Neurospora crassa OR74A: one gene and its partners. The protein of the gene in region 2 interacts with the protein of the main gene of each other region in a biochemical or structural test. Links are inferred from orthologs where the notes say so. Each region holds a gene or a part of one and is shown on either strand. Other genes may lie near its edges.

The links.
Region 1: of the proteins of cdc28 (region 2) and NCU05972, one has a biochemical effect on the other in vitro, tested with the Saccharomyces cerevisiae proteins (2 studies listed by BioGRID). The link is inferred for Neurospora crassa OR74A from reciprocal best matches to the Saccharomyces cerevisiae genes CDC28 and DBF4.
Region 3: of the proteins of cdc28 (region 2) and NCU01370, one has a biochemical effect on the other in vitro, tested with the Saccharomyces cerevisiae proteins (5 studies listed by BioGRID). The link is inferred for Neurospora crassa OR74A from reciprocal best matches to the Saccharomyces cerevisiae genes CDC28 and ORC2.

The regions. Positions count from the first base shown.
Region 1 is NC_026506.1:3,251,100-3,254,848, forward strand, and holds the start of NCU05972 (sporulation-specific protein 6), read right to left. Parts: upstream 2,627-3,749; 5' UTR 1,927-2,626; coding exon 1,351-1,926; intron 1,284-1,350; coding exon 1-1,283. Other genes in the region: NCU05971 (xaa-Pro dipeptidase), read left to right, coding at 3,316-3,749. UniProt on the Saccharomyces cerevisiae protein: Regulatory subunit of the CDC7-DBF4 kinase, also called DBF4-dependent kinase (DDK), which is involved in cell cycle regulation of premitotic and premeiotic chromosome replication and in chromosome segregation.
Region 2 is NC_026506.1:1,089,333-1,093,081, forward strand, and holds the start of cdc28 (cell division control protein 2), read right to left. Parts: upstream 2,209-3,749; 5' UTR 1,492-2,208; coding exon 1,455-1,491; intron 1,371-1,454; coding exon 686-1,370; intron 604-685; coding exon 339-603; 3' UTR 1-338. Other genes in the region: NCU09779 (oxidoreductase), read left to right, coding at 2,892-3,168, 3,228-3,749. UniProt on the Saccharomyces cerevisiae protein: Cyclin-dependent kinase that acts as a master regulator of the mitotic and meiotic cell cycles. Required to drive the G1-S transition. More than 200 substrates have been identified. Substrate specificity is in part regulated by the bound cyclin protein.
Region 3 is NC_026505.1:3,801,442-3,805,190, forward strand, and holds NCU01370 (hypothetical protein), read right to left. Parts: upstream 2,584-3,749; 5' UTR 2,457-2,583; coding exon 760-2,456; intron 676-759; coding exon 561-675; 3' UTR 338-560; downstream 1-337. Other genes in the region: NCU01371 (UPF0660 protein, variant), read left to right, coding at 2,855-3,088, 3,145-3,483, 3,550-3,633. UniProt on the Saccharomyces cerevisiae protein: Component of the origin recognition complex (ORC) that binds origins of replication. It has a role in both chromosomal replication and mating type transcriptional silencing. Binds to the ARS consensus sequence (ACS) of origins of replication.

The DNA of each region.
Region 1 (3,749 bases), about 2.2 Mb from region 2:
GCCTGCTCCTGCTTCCGAGCTTCATCGTCCTCCCAGATACCAGGCATCGGGGGTTTGGCCGGATTACCCAAGCTGGCGGCACGAGTGCACTGGGCGGCATCCACACCAATCTCGGCCAAGCGACGAACACCAGAGTCTTGCGAAAGAGAAGGACCACCAGCTTTCTGAAGAACCTTGCGCTGAAGACCCAAAACTTCCTTGCTGATACCGGCCTTGGCGCCAAGGACACCGGTGGTGGACGACACCATCTGAGAGCGAATGGCGGATGTGAGCTTGTTGGCCTGGATGCCAGAAGCGACGGGCTCTCCGGCTACCAAACGGCCAACTTTGGTGGTATGGCTCATAAAGGCATTCTGCGAACGGAAATCGACCGAAGGGGTGGGCTCCTTGGCTGACTCGACGGTTTCGGGGGCATCATCAACAACTTCGGTTGCACGGTCGTTGGGTGCTTCCATCTCCTTAAGAGTACGCTTTCCCGTAACCGGCTTGGGTGATGGTACCTCGGGGGGCTGGAGGGTCTTGGTAGCCTTCTCGGTAGCGGCGGCGGCATCTGCAGCTTTGACAACTTTCTCCTTGGTCTGAGTCTTTTCCCGCCTCGTCCTTTCAGGGGGATCATAATCCTCAACAAATGGGCAACGGCCCTGGGATGCCACACGGAACTGAGGCCATTCGCCGTCCTTCTTGTCGGCAACTCTGTGGTACTCCCTCACCATGATCGGCCTCGTCTTCTCCTCAATGTCGTACACATAAATGTAGGGGCCCTTGAAGTAGTGGATGTCCTTGGTAACAACGGTGGGATCGCGATCGGAGGGGCCGTGAACACGCTCATTCTGGAGCATTTGGAGTACATTCGCAGTCTGCTGGCGAGCCTTGGCCCTATCCGCGGCTGCTGGTGTGTGGCCTCGGCCCAACAATGCCGCCTTGTACAAGTCCGTTTCAAGGACCATGCCGAGAATCCTCTGGAGTTTGTCAAGCGACCAGATCTTCTTGCCCATGTCCCGCGCACGGTGCAGGATGTCGGTGCTGCGTGCTTTCGGCTTCGGCATCGTCTCTTCCTGGGGCTGCACAGAGGATTTCCGGAGTGAGGGCTTGTCGAAAATGAGTTTGCGTCGGACCGAGTCGCCATTGCGGTTCAGGAGAGAGGGATCGATTGTCTTTGGCTGTTCACTTGTCGATTGCGTGTTGGTAACGGGCTGGTTCTCGTCCTGGACTGGCTTTACAGGGGGGATAGGACGGGTGGTGACGACATGGGTGATTTCGATGGAAAAGAACTTTTCCTCGCGCTGTGACCGAAGTGTAAGTATAAGCCGAGCGGTTGGGCCTGCATTGGGCAAGGGGTCGTTGACTTACAGCGCCCAATTGAGCGACTTGTTTGGCGAGCTTGTGACGTTGCTCGTCGGGAATGCTCTCAAAGTAGAAGACCATCTTGTGAAAGCGAGATCTCATAGAGGTTTGCCATATACTAAGGTCTTCAAGTTCCTTTGCGGTGATGCGGTCGGTCGTCGTGGTGGTGGAGGTGGTGGTGGTGGTGGTGGAGGCGGCATACAACCTCTCGGCACGGGTGGTGGTGCTGGTAGCCACGGTGGTGCCTGATCTAGAAGAAGCCCTTTCAGGCCGTTCCCGATCAATGGGCCGGGATATGGTCGAGGCCTTGCGCGTGATATTGGACACATTGGACCGGGAGCTCGTCGGCGAGGCGGCGGCGCGTTGACCGCCATGTTCAATCATCTGTCTCTTGGCCGGCGGTGGTTGACCGTATGGCTCCTCTCTAAGCTGATCGGCATGGGAGCGGACGGCGGCCTTTTTAGAGCCCTGTAGTGCCAAGGCGGTAGCCGAGGACCCACGCAGCGGCGAGTTGGCGGCATTGGGGTTGTCGGAGAGAGGAGCCCTCTTGGTGCCCGCGGCAGTGGTGGTGGTTGACGACATTGCTGTGGGATGTCGATCTAGCGATACTGTTGTCTTGTAAAATATCCAGTCAACATGCTATGGGTGTGGTGTTGTTTCTGTTTGTTCCGAAACGCCGGCTCGGGGATGGTAAGGGAGGGAGACAGTTTCCGGGCTGTCTGTCTGGTCGCGTGCTGGTACTAGCTTGGAGTTTGGGTAGGGGGACCCCGGATAACTATGGTACACCAAGAATCAAGTCGTGTGCTGAGTGCCGACTCGACAGACAAGACAAAGTGGTTTAGGCTCGGTGATCGATGGTGTCGATGGTCGAACAATGGCCCAATGCGGTCGGACAATTATTCGTCGTCGATCGTTGGTCGTTGGCTGGGAAGGAGCAAGGAAGCACTCGACCCTGGCCTGGGCGCAAAACAACTAAAGTGAGGCGGTTGGTGGTGGAGGTTGGGGCACAGTTGTCTGTTCTTCCAAAAACGCGTCTCTCGATTTTTGTCGCTGGAGGTTTTGGCTCCGTCGTCGCAGTGGCACGCGCTGAGCTCCGGTGACGGGAAGGAAGAAGGGACCGTTGTTGAACAAAACTAAGGAAACGGCTAAGGCCAATTGGATGATCTGCGCAAACCTTCCAATGTCGAATCGCGCCCGAAGTCAGTCGACGCCCGGTGCGAACAGGCCAAGATCCAATGTTCTGGTGTTGGTGGGTGGTCAAAAAACCTTTGTGTAATCAAAGTGTTTGGTTTTGATAATGACAGTCGCGACAGCAGGGTCCAGCAGGCCAAACCTCTAGGCAATGTGGGGGGGGGGGGGGGGGGAGTGCAGGCGCCCGGCCCGGGATGCTTGCACTGGCTGCCCTACACTGAAAAGCGCTGACAATGAAAATGCACCCACGCCTGGCAGCTGTGGTTTGTTGTTGCTGTCAGGTCGTGCTGGGGAATGCCAACAGCGGCTCCACATCCGCGGCTTGCAGCTGGCAGGCAGCATTTGATGCCCGGGCAGCGAGACCTGGACTCTTGGCAGTCCAGTGAAGCGCCTGGCAACTGTCAGCATTCATTTGAGCAAAAGTGAGAATGATAAAGTGACGAGATCCCATGTCTTTACCTTTACGAAACATACCTACCTATGAACCGACCTCTTGTCCGTCGCGAAGCAATTCAACTTCATTTCTCGCCGTACCTTGTTGCTTGGGGAATCTGGAGGTTGGTAAAGGTTGAGATTCCGACAACCCCATGATCAGTTTGTAGCTAGACTTTAGGTGCCGGTAGTCCTAGTAAAATACGTATCATCAACATTGCGAGCCATCCCAAACCAAGTTCACCTACGCCACCAACCCGGCGAGCCGAGGTGAACTCACACCTCGTTCTCACCTAACCACCACATTCCTTCCCCTCATCACCCTTTGACAACCACCCTTTATTTGACATGAAGCTTCCCCAAGCCGTCCTGCGGCAATGTTCTCGACACTTGCGCGCTCAGAATAACTGGCCTCTCCAACCACGTCTCCAATCTGCCAAGTCCATCCTCCCCGCATCTCACCCAAGCTCACCACCATCAACACCATGGCGCCCATCCCGGACATACGCAACGACGACGACGACGACGACAACAGTCTCAGCCGCCGACCTCGAATTCGGCCAGCCCGTCTACGAAACGCACCCCCACATCCTGCAACCGGGTGAACTAACCCCCGGCATCACGGCCCAAGAATATCACGAGCGACGTTCCAAGCTCGCCTTCGCACTTCCCGAAAACGGCATCGCCATTCTCGCCTCCTCGGAACTCAAATACCGCTCCGGCGCCGTCTTCTTCCCCTTCCGACAGGACTCCAACTTTCTGTATCTCACCGGATTCTCCGA
Region 2 (3,749 bases):
GACCCCTTTGAACGCTGTTCCCTAAAAACACAACCCTACATACAACAAAATGTAGGTATGGGGAATTTGATGTGTCGAATATCATGTTTCCGAGTATCCTGAAAGCAAAGTGGGATGCTATGATATGCTTCAGGTGTGATAATGACAGTTTGTTTCTGTCACCGTTTCGGTGTGTCGACCTCACTCGCTACTGGTAGAATCACAAAGACTGTACCCTTGCCACGAACTGCCCACTTTGAAGTCACCGAGATCCAACCGAACCTAAGCAGCCGGCTGCAAAACTTGGATAGTCGATCTGCTATTGCCTAACGCTCCTGCTTCGACCTTGGCGAACGTCCCTAGGCGTATCTGCTGCTGTCGCGGTATTTGCTCTTTGGCTTGGGGTTGTAGTCTTCAAAGTAAGGGTGATTGCACGCTGCCTTGGCAGAGATTCGGCCAGCAGGGTCGTAGACAAGCATGGATTCAAGTAGCTCAAGACCGACATCGTCGAGGTTTTGGCAAAGTGGTACGTTGTAGTCGCGTACCCACTTGGGGAAAGATGCCTTGAAGTCGGGATAGGAGGTGACGCCGGGCCAGATGTCCTCAGTAGGGGTTCCAAGCAGACTGTTTGGAGGAAAAGAGGTCAGTATAGCGGACTAGGGGAGAAGCAGAAAGGTGCCAAGAAAAGGTAACTGCATAAACGTACCGGAAGATCTTGAAGATCTCGTCAATTTCCGAATCACCAGGGAACAAGGGCTTGCGTGTGCACATTTCGGCAAAGATGCAACCAACGGACCACATATCGACACCGGTCGAGTACTGACGACCACCCAGCAGGATTTCGGGCGCACGGTACCACAATGTGACGACCTCGTGGGTATAAGTACGGAGTGGAACACCAAAGGCGCGGGCGAGACCGAAATCTGCTAGCTTCAAGTTGCCGTCGCGGTCGATGAGCAGGTTCTGGGGCTTGAGATCGCGGTGTAGGACACGGTGGCTGTGGCAGTATCGGACGCCCTCGCAAAGCTGGCTCATGAACTTCTTGATGATATCCTCGCCCAGTCCCAAATTGTGCAGTCCGGCGCCCGTTCCTTCGGGGAGGGCCTTGCCCCTACCACCGTCGCTGACAGGAAGGGCCTCCATGTACTTCTTCAGATCAAGATCGAGGAATTCGAAGACAAGATACAGCTTATGGCCTTGACCGCCGTCGGCGTGGACAATGTTGAGGAGACGCACAATGTTGGGGTCGCGCATCTCCTTGAGCAGCGAGATCTCACGGATGGCGGTAGAGGGGACGCCCTCATCTTCGGCTTCGAGGCGGATCTTCTTGAGGGCGACAATGCGCCCGCTGTTAGCCAAGTCGCGGGCCTTGTAGACGACACCATACGTTCCTATGCGGAAGGTGGAATGTCAGTACGGGACATGGAAGGAAGAGAGCCAAGGTGGAGGGGTCGAAGAAGAAGGGGGTGTTGTACCCTCGCCAATCTTTTCCAGCTTCTGATAGTTCTCCATGGTTGCTCTGTTACCCGTCCAGGCCGCTATACTGAGATGGGTGGTTTGAAAGTCCCTGGAGGGAAAGAATTGACTTTGCCCGGAGTCGTAGAACTACTAGTTGGGGTTGGTGCCTGGTGTTCGTGGTCGTCGTGGTGGGGGACGATTACGACGAACGATGTTGTACCTAGCGCGCTGAAGCACAGTGATTGATGGAAAAGCCCAGAACGAAGCGTGGGGCGGCGGCGGCGGCGGCGGCGGATGGAGAAAGTGACGGCCGTCGAAGGGTCGCCTTCTTGAGATTGATTGATCCTTGGAGAGTCAAGGTCCAGCCAAGGATAGGTGGTGTCCAAAGGGAGCGCAGTGGCGGATTGGTAAACAAAAACGAAAAAAGGTGGAATCGTCCGTCGTTGCCGTCAAAAGGCTACAGTACTAGCTACCGTAAATACTTTGTTTTGGTGTTGACTTTTGGTGGTGATGATGGTGCCGTGAATGGTCGACGGGTCGTCCTGGGCGGAGGGCTGAATGCGAAAGGCCGCTGATGAAAAGGCAATATGATGCAGCGAGCGATGTAATTGTCGTCCGTTGTTCCTGCAACTTCTTGATACTAAGGGACCGTGATGGTGAAGGGACAGAAATCCAAGGAAGGAGAGGCGGTGGACGTGCAAGTGGAAGTTGAGGTTGTGAAGTTGTGGTTGTCGTTCGAGTGTCGGATTTAGAGGGCAGTCCAGGGGGGTGGTCCGCTGTACTGTAGTGCAGTAGGTAGGTTTTATTCCAGACGGGCATCCGAGTGCAGGTGGTTGGAGACGGGACGATTACGTCTTAGACTTGGCGCTTGCAACGGAAATCCGTGTCAACACAAAAAGCGCGGACCGCGACGGCACCATGGAAACCACTCACTGGAGGGACGGACTGCAAGGGAGGAATGAACGCGTCCAAAAAATGCCCGCTTTCCTCGTCGGTAGGTACTCCGAGTTCAAGGTAGGTAGGTAAACTTTCAAGCAATCTAGGTACATATGTACCACCTCTACCTAGTTCTAGTAAGTACTACTACTTGGAGCATTGACTGTACCCGACAGCCCACCAAGATGGGGCAGAATACGTAGGTACCTTCTAGGTAGCCACGATCTCTAACTGTTGACTACCCCTGACTTGTGGCGCCATTCAGAAGCTCCAGCCATTCAGACGCCCAGCCCAGCCTCAGCTCGACGCCCACACATCAATCCATCTCGACCATCCGTCCCGTCTGAAGCTTCACTCGAGTCCCCACAATTTCATCTCACGATACTTCCCTACTCCAAATCCGCAACGTCACACGAGGACTCGGAAGGAGTCAACTTGTATACTCATATCCATTTCTTCGGTCACTTTTCTGTTCTCTTTTTGGATATCTCGCTCAAAAGAACTACCCGACTTTCAAGATGATGGGTGGACACCATGACCTGGATGCGCACGAGCAGCCGTCGGATGAGCTGCGGCTCAAGTGGAAGTCGTTCGCCAAAGTCGACCAGAAAATCGTCATGAACAGCCCCGAGATCGATGACTTGCGCAGTCCCGAAAAAGCCCCCGAGTTTGTGCTCGCTGGCTCCATTCCTACCGAGACTTTGAACAGGTCCTTCAGCTATATCTGCCCCGAAGACTCACCAGAGTTCCGCACAGACAAGGACGCCCCCATCTATTACCATCCTCTCTTGCCTGGTGAACTCAAGATCCTGGACCCCTCTTCCTCACGAATCATTGCTGACCAACCCCAAAAGGTCTCTTGATTCTCCCAAACCTCATTCCCCCCGAGGTCCAAAAGACGCTACTGCGCAACATCATTCACCGCGATCTCAACCAACCCCATCACCAGACCAACATGCATCTCCATTTCAAGCTCCCCTACCCGCCCGTGGATCCCGAAACAGGCCTTCAGGAATCCTTCTTCTCCTACCCTCCAGATTCCGAGACGTGTTTTGAGCCAAAGGACCCTTCTGTACACAAGCCTCTCACTTTTCAACAAGTCTTCAACCGCAAGCTACACTGGGTCACCCTAGGTGGACAGTATGACTGGACGAATCGCGTTTACCCGGGCGAGCTGCCCCCCGAGTTTCCCAAAGACATTGCCGGCCTTTTGGAGACCCTGTTTCCCGAGACTCAGGCCCAAGCGGCCATTGTCAATTTCTACACCCCCGGCGATACCATGATGATGCACCGCGATGTGTCAGAAGAGACCGACAAAGGCCTGGTCAGCTTGAGTATAGGCTGTGATTCGCTCTTCATGATTTGTCCCGAGGACT
Region 3 (3,749 bases), on a different chromosome or scaffold from region 2:
TTTGGGATTTGGGCTTGGTTTATACGGTTGAACCAAGATCGAAGCTCGGGCATTTGGGAAAAGTTCCCCGGACATGGCGGCTGCTTGTTTTTGTCTCCTTGGCATCCGTGGCGCGCGAGACGGAATTGTCTGAACTGAGGAATCCAATCAAAAACATTTCAACTTCGTTATACTCTTGATGTCTTTTGTGCTCGATGACTCGTGATTCGATGTGTGTGTGTGTGTGTGTGTGTGTGTGTGGCCAAACAAAGTAGTGGACTAGGTCCTTTCGGTAATCGAGTACCTATCATGAGAGCATGGCATGACAAGCAAAACATCGAAGTGGCAAGTATACATTTTCGACTTTGTAATTATCGTAAGACTTGAGCTATTGATGTTCTGCGGTGAGCTTTCCAGGATTTTGGATATGTTAAGACTATGATATGATGTGTAGGCTTCCATTCCAACACATGTGGTGGGTGTTGCCGTGTGTATGATAACTTCCAGGTCAAATCTGTGTGTGTCCCATTCATCTCGATTCAAAACTTAGCATTGTCATGATACATCGTCGTCAATCATCACTACGACATCAACTCCTCCAGGATAGACTCCAGCTCCTCTTTCCTAAAAGGTAAGCTCAAGTATTCCGTCCCTATCGAGTCCTTGTGACTCGTAATGATTTGATGATCGTGGAATCTGTTTCCGTTCTGTTAGCCGTTGTCCCTTTAAAACCAAGAAAATCATCTCCACAGCCAAGTCACAACAGAGGGAAGAACATACTCCTTTAGCAGCGTCCTAAACGCCATTTCCGAACTGCAAATAAACTCCTCCACAGCCTTGTTGTAAAGCATCCTATACTCTACCCCCGGCCCTTCTCCTCCCGCTGCAAAGTCTCCTGCCCCTGATGTACCACCACCACCACCACCACCGTCCTCAAAAGCCACCAAAACCTCCCCCACAATCAGCCCAAACAATTTCCTCGCGTTCTCGGGTAAACTCCGCAACACAAACGCCACTCCTTCCTTGCCACCCGCTCTCTTGCCCATCCTACCCAGTAACTCGTGTACTTCGTCTACTACGTCCAACTCTTTGCTGTGGTCTGCAAAAGTGGTGCAGTCGTGAAATGCAAAGTTGAACGAGGAGCGTAAGCTAGAGTCCCAGAGCAGAGGGAAGTCGGGCGTGTCGACTGTGCAAGCGAGAGAGATGGCTGGGTGTGAGGAGAGATGGGCGAGGAGGGATTGCGTTTGGGGTTTGCGGAGGGGGGAGAAGGGGGAGTCGAGGGAGGCTAGGAGGAGGGTGATTCTTGGCTTTTGAGCAAAAGAGGAGAGGAGGGTGAAGAGGTTTTGGATCATGGCGAGCGGGTTTCCGGAGGGTAGGCGGAAGGTGGGGTCGATGGCGGCCGAGATGGTGGTGAGGATCTCGCGGAAGGTGAGGGTGCGGGTGTGCCCGTTGATCATGATGATTGTTGTGTTGTTTGTGTCATTACCGCCGGAGGAGGAGAAGAGGTACTCGGCGAATTGGTGCAAAAGTCGACGCTTGGAGCCGTAGCCGTAGAGGCAGACGCTGAAGCCTTGGGAGAGCTCAAAGGCCCATTGGGGGAAGGAGGCGGCGTGTTGCGACTGGAGGGCATCGATATGTTTTTCGTGGGGGTCCTGACCCAGGTTGCGGAGAAGCGAGAAGTATTCTTCGTGGATGAGGAGGTCGAGCGAGGAGAGCGTGTTGTTCGAGGTTTTGTTGGATCCCGGCTTGTTCTGGTAAAAGTATTGTTCATGGGGAGGGAGGTCTCGGGGTGGTGTGGGCGATTTCTTTCGTCGTGCTAAACCGGGGGGTCTGCCTCCTCGTCCTCTCCCCCTCCCTGTCTTGGATGGAGTGGTTGCTGCTAACTCGGCCTCTTGGTCGGCGAGGTTTTCTTGTTGGGTGTCCCCTTCCTCTTCTTCCTCGCTTGACTCGTAGATCTCTCGTGCGATTTGTTGCTCTTCGTCCTCGTCATCGCTTACGGCGCCCTCCAGCACACGGTCGATGAGAGCCCTGGCACTCTTCCGTCTAGCCGATCGGTCGGCAATTCCTCGCCTGCCGGGTGTGTCGACGCCACTGATTCCTTTGAGCTTGATCGGTGTCTCGTCGACTTGTTTCTTGCGCAGGGCGGATGGTGTGCTCGGCTTGCCACTTGGTGTTCCTCCCGTCTTGGCCTTCGGTGGTCGCCCTATCCTTTTCTTGCTGGGTGTCTGCTCGGTAGGTGACTCGGGTTCTTCTGGCACAGAGGCTAGGTCGCGCTGGAGGAAATCGACCTGTTTCCGCGGGGTGGCGTTTCGCTTTGAAGGTGTTCCTCCATCTTCTGGTTGTCGCCGTTGACGCTTTGCGGAGGGAACCGCATCATCCTCATCTGGAACTTCGTAGGGGTCGGCAGGGAGTGGCCGCTTTCGAGAGGGGCGTTCGACTAGATCGTGCTGATCTGTTGATTTCCGACGAGGAGGCATACCGTTTGTGTTATTGGCTTTGGTTTATGTTGTCCAAGTTGTATGGCATGCCTTGGAGTCCCGCTGTACCTTTACCCTACCTCTGCAATTCGAAGTCTACGGGAAACTTTTGTAAAGTCAAGACGCGCTCGCTTAATTGAGACGCGTTAAGCTGTACATACGCCCGGGATGACGCTACCTACCTCTAGATGGGAAGACAGCAGGTACCTGCTAGAGAGTACCTGCGGGTAGCAGGGTTCGCTGCCTACTAACGGGGGCAAGCCAAGCCCCTGTCTACCACCACATACGCTACCTCTAGGTACTTCGCGGGAGGGTTATAGGTGGGAGAGTTCATAGGCTTTCTTGCAACCTCATGTCATCTCAACCAAACAAACTCCAAGAGGACTATCGCGACCAATATGTCAAAGCTCAATCTCAATTTGTCTGCCTCATTGAACATTTTCAAGCTTATCGCCAAGCCTTCACTATGTCTGCCCCACGCTACAGTTCCAACGTTCAACGACCTGCCCATCCCTCTTAACAAAGCCTTCTCCGGCAATGGCGAGAAGAAGGTTGACATAAAGGCTGTCGTGCTCGACAAAGATGACTGCTTTGCCTATCCTGATCACAATGAAGTGTATGAGGCTTACAAGGTGGGTTGTCTCTCGTCCCAATTCCATTCAGGAACGCTTTGACTGATTAAGCCAAGGAACGCATGGAGGCTCTACGAGCAGCATACCCAGGACGCCGTCTTCTGATCGTTTCCAACACTGCTGGTGCCCTAAGCTGGGACAAGGACGGCCAGATGGCATCCGCAGTTGAAAAGGCCACCGGCATCACTGTTCTCCCCCATGGTGTGAAAAAGCCAGGCTGTGGAGACGAGATCATGTCCTACTTCCGTGCCCACCCGGAAACCGGTGTCACCAGTCCTCACCAGATCGCCGTCGTGGGAGACCGACTGGCCACTGACATGATGCTTGCCAACATGATGGGCAGCTATGGTATTTGGATCAAGGATGGAGTTGTTCCCCACCAGCAGAAGAGCATCGTAAGTGAAACCCTGCAACCAAGCTGCGTGATAAGCCAAAGTCTTTTGCTGACTGGGATATGATAGTGGTCGAGAGTTGAGAGGACTGTTGCGCCCTTCCTTGTATCCCGTGGTTATACCGCTCCTGAGCCAGTGAGCCCCTTTGAGTAACTGCATTTTGTGCTTCTCCAGGGAAAGAAGACAGCGTGTAGTAATGTATGTTTTCTGCATATCCCCAGTAGCTGAGGTGGGTTCTTCTTTTCTTTCGCATCTGTGCCCCATTCTCT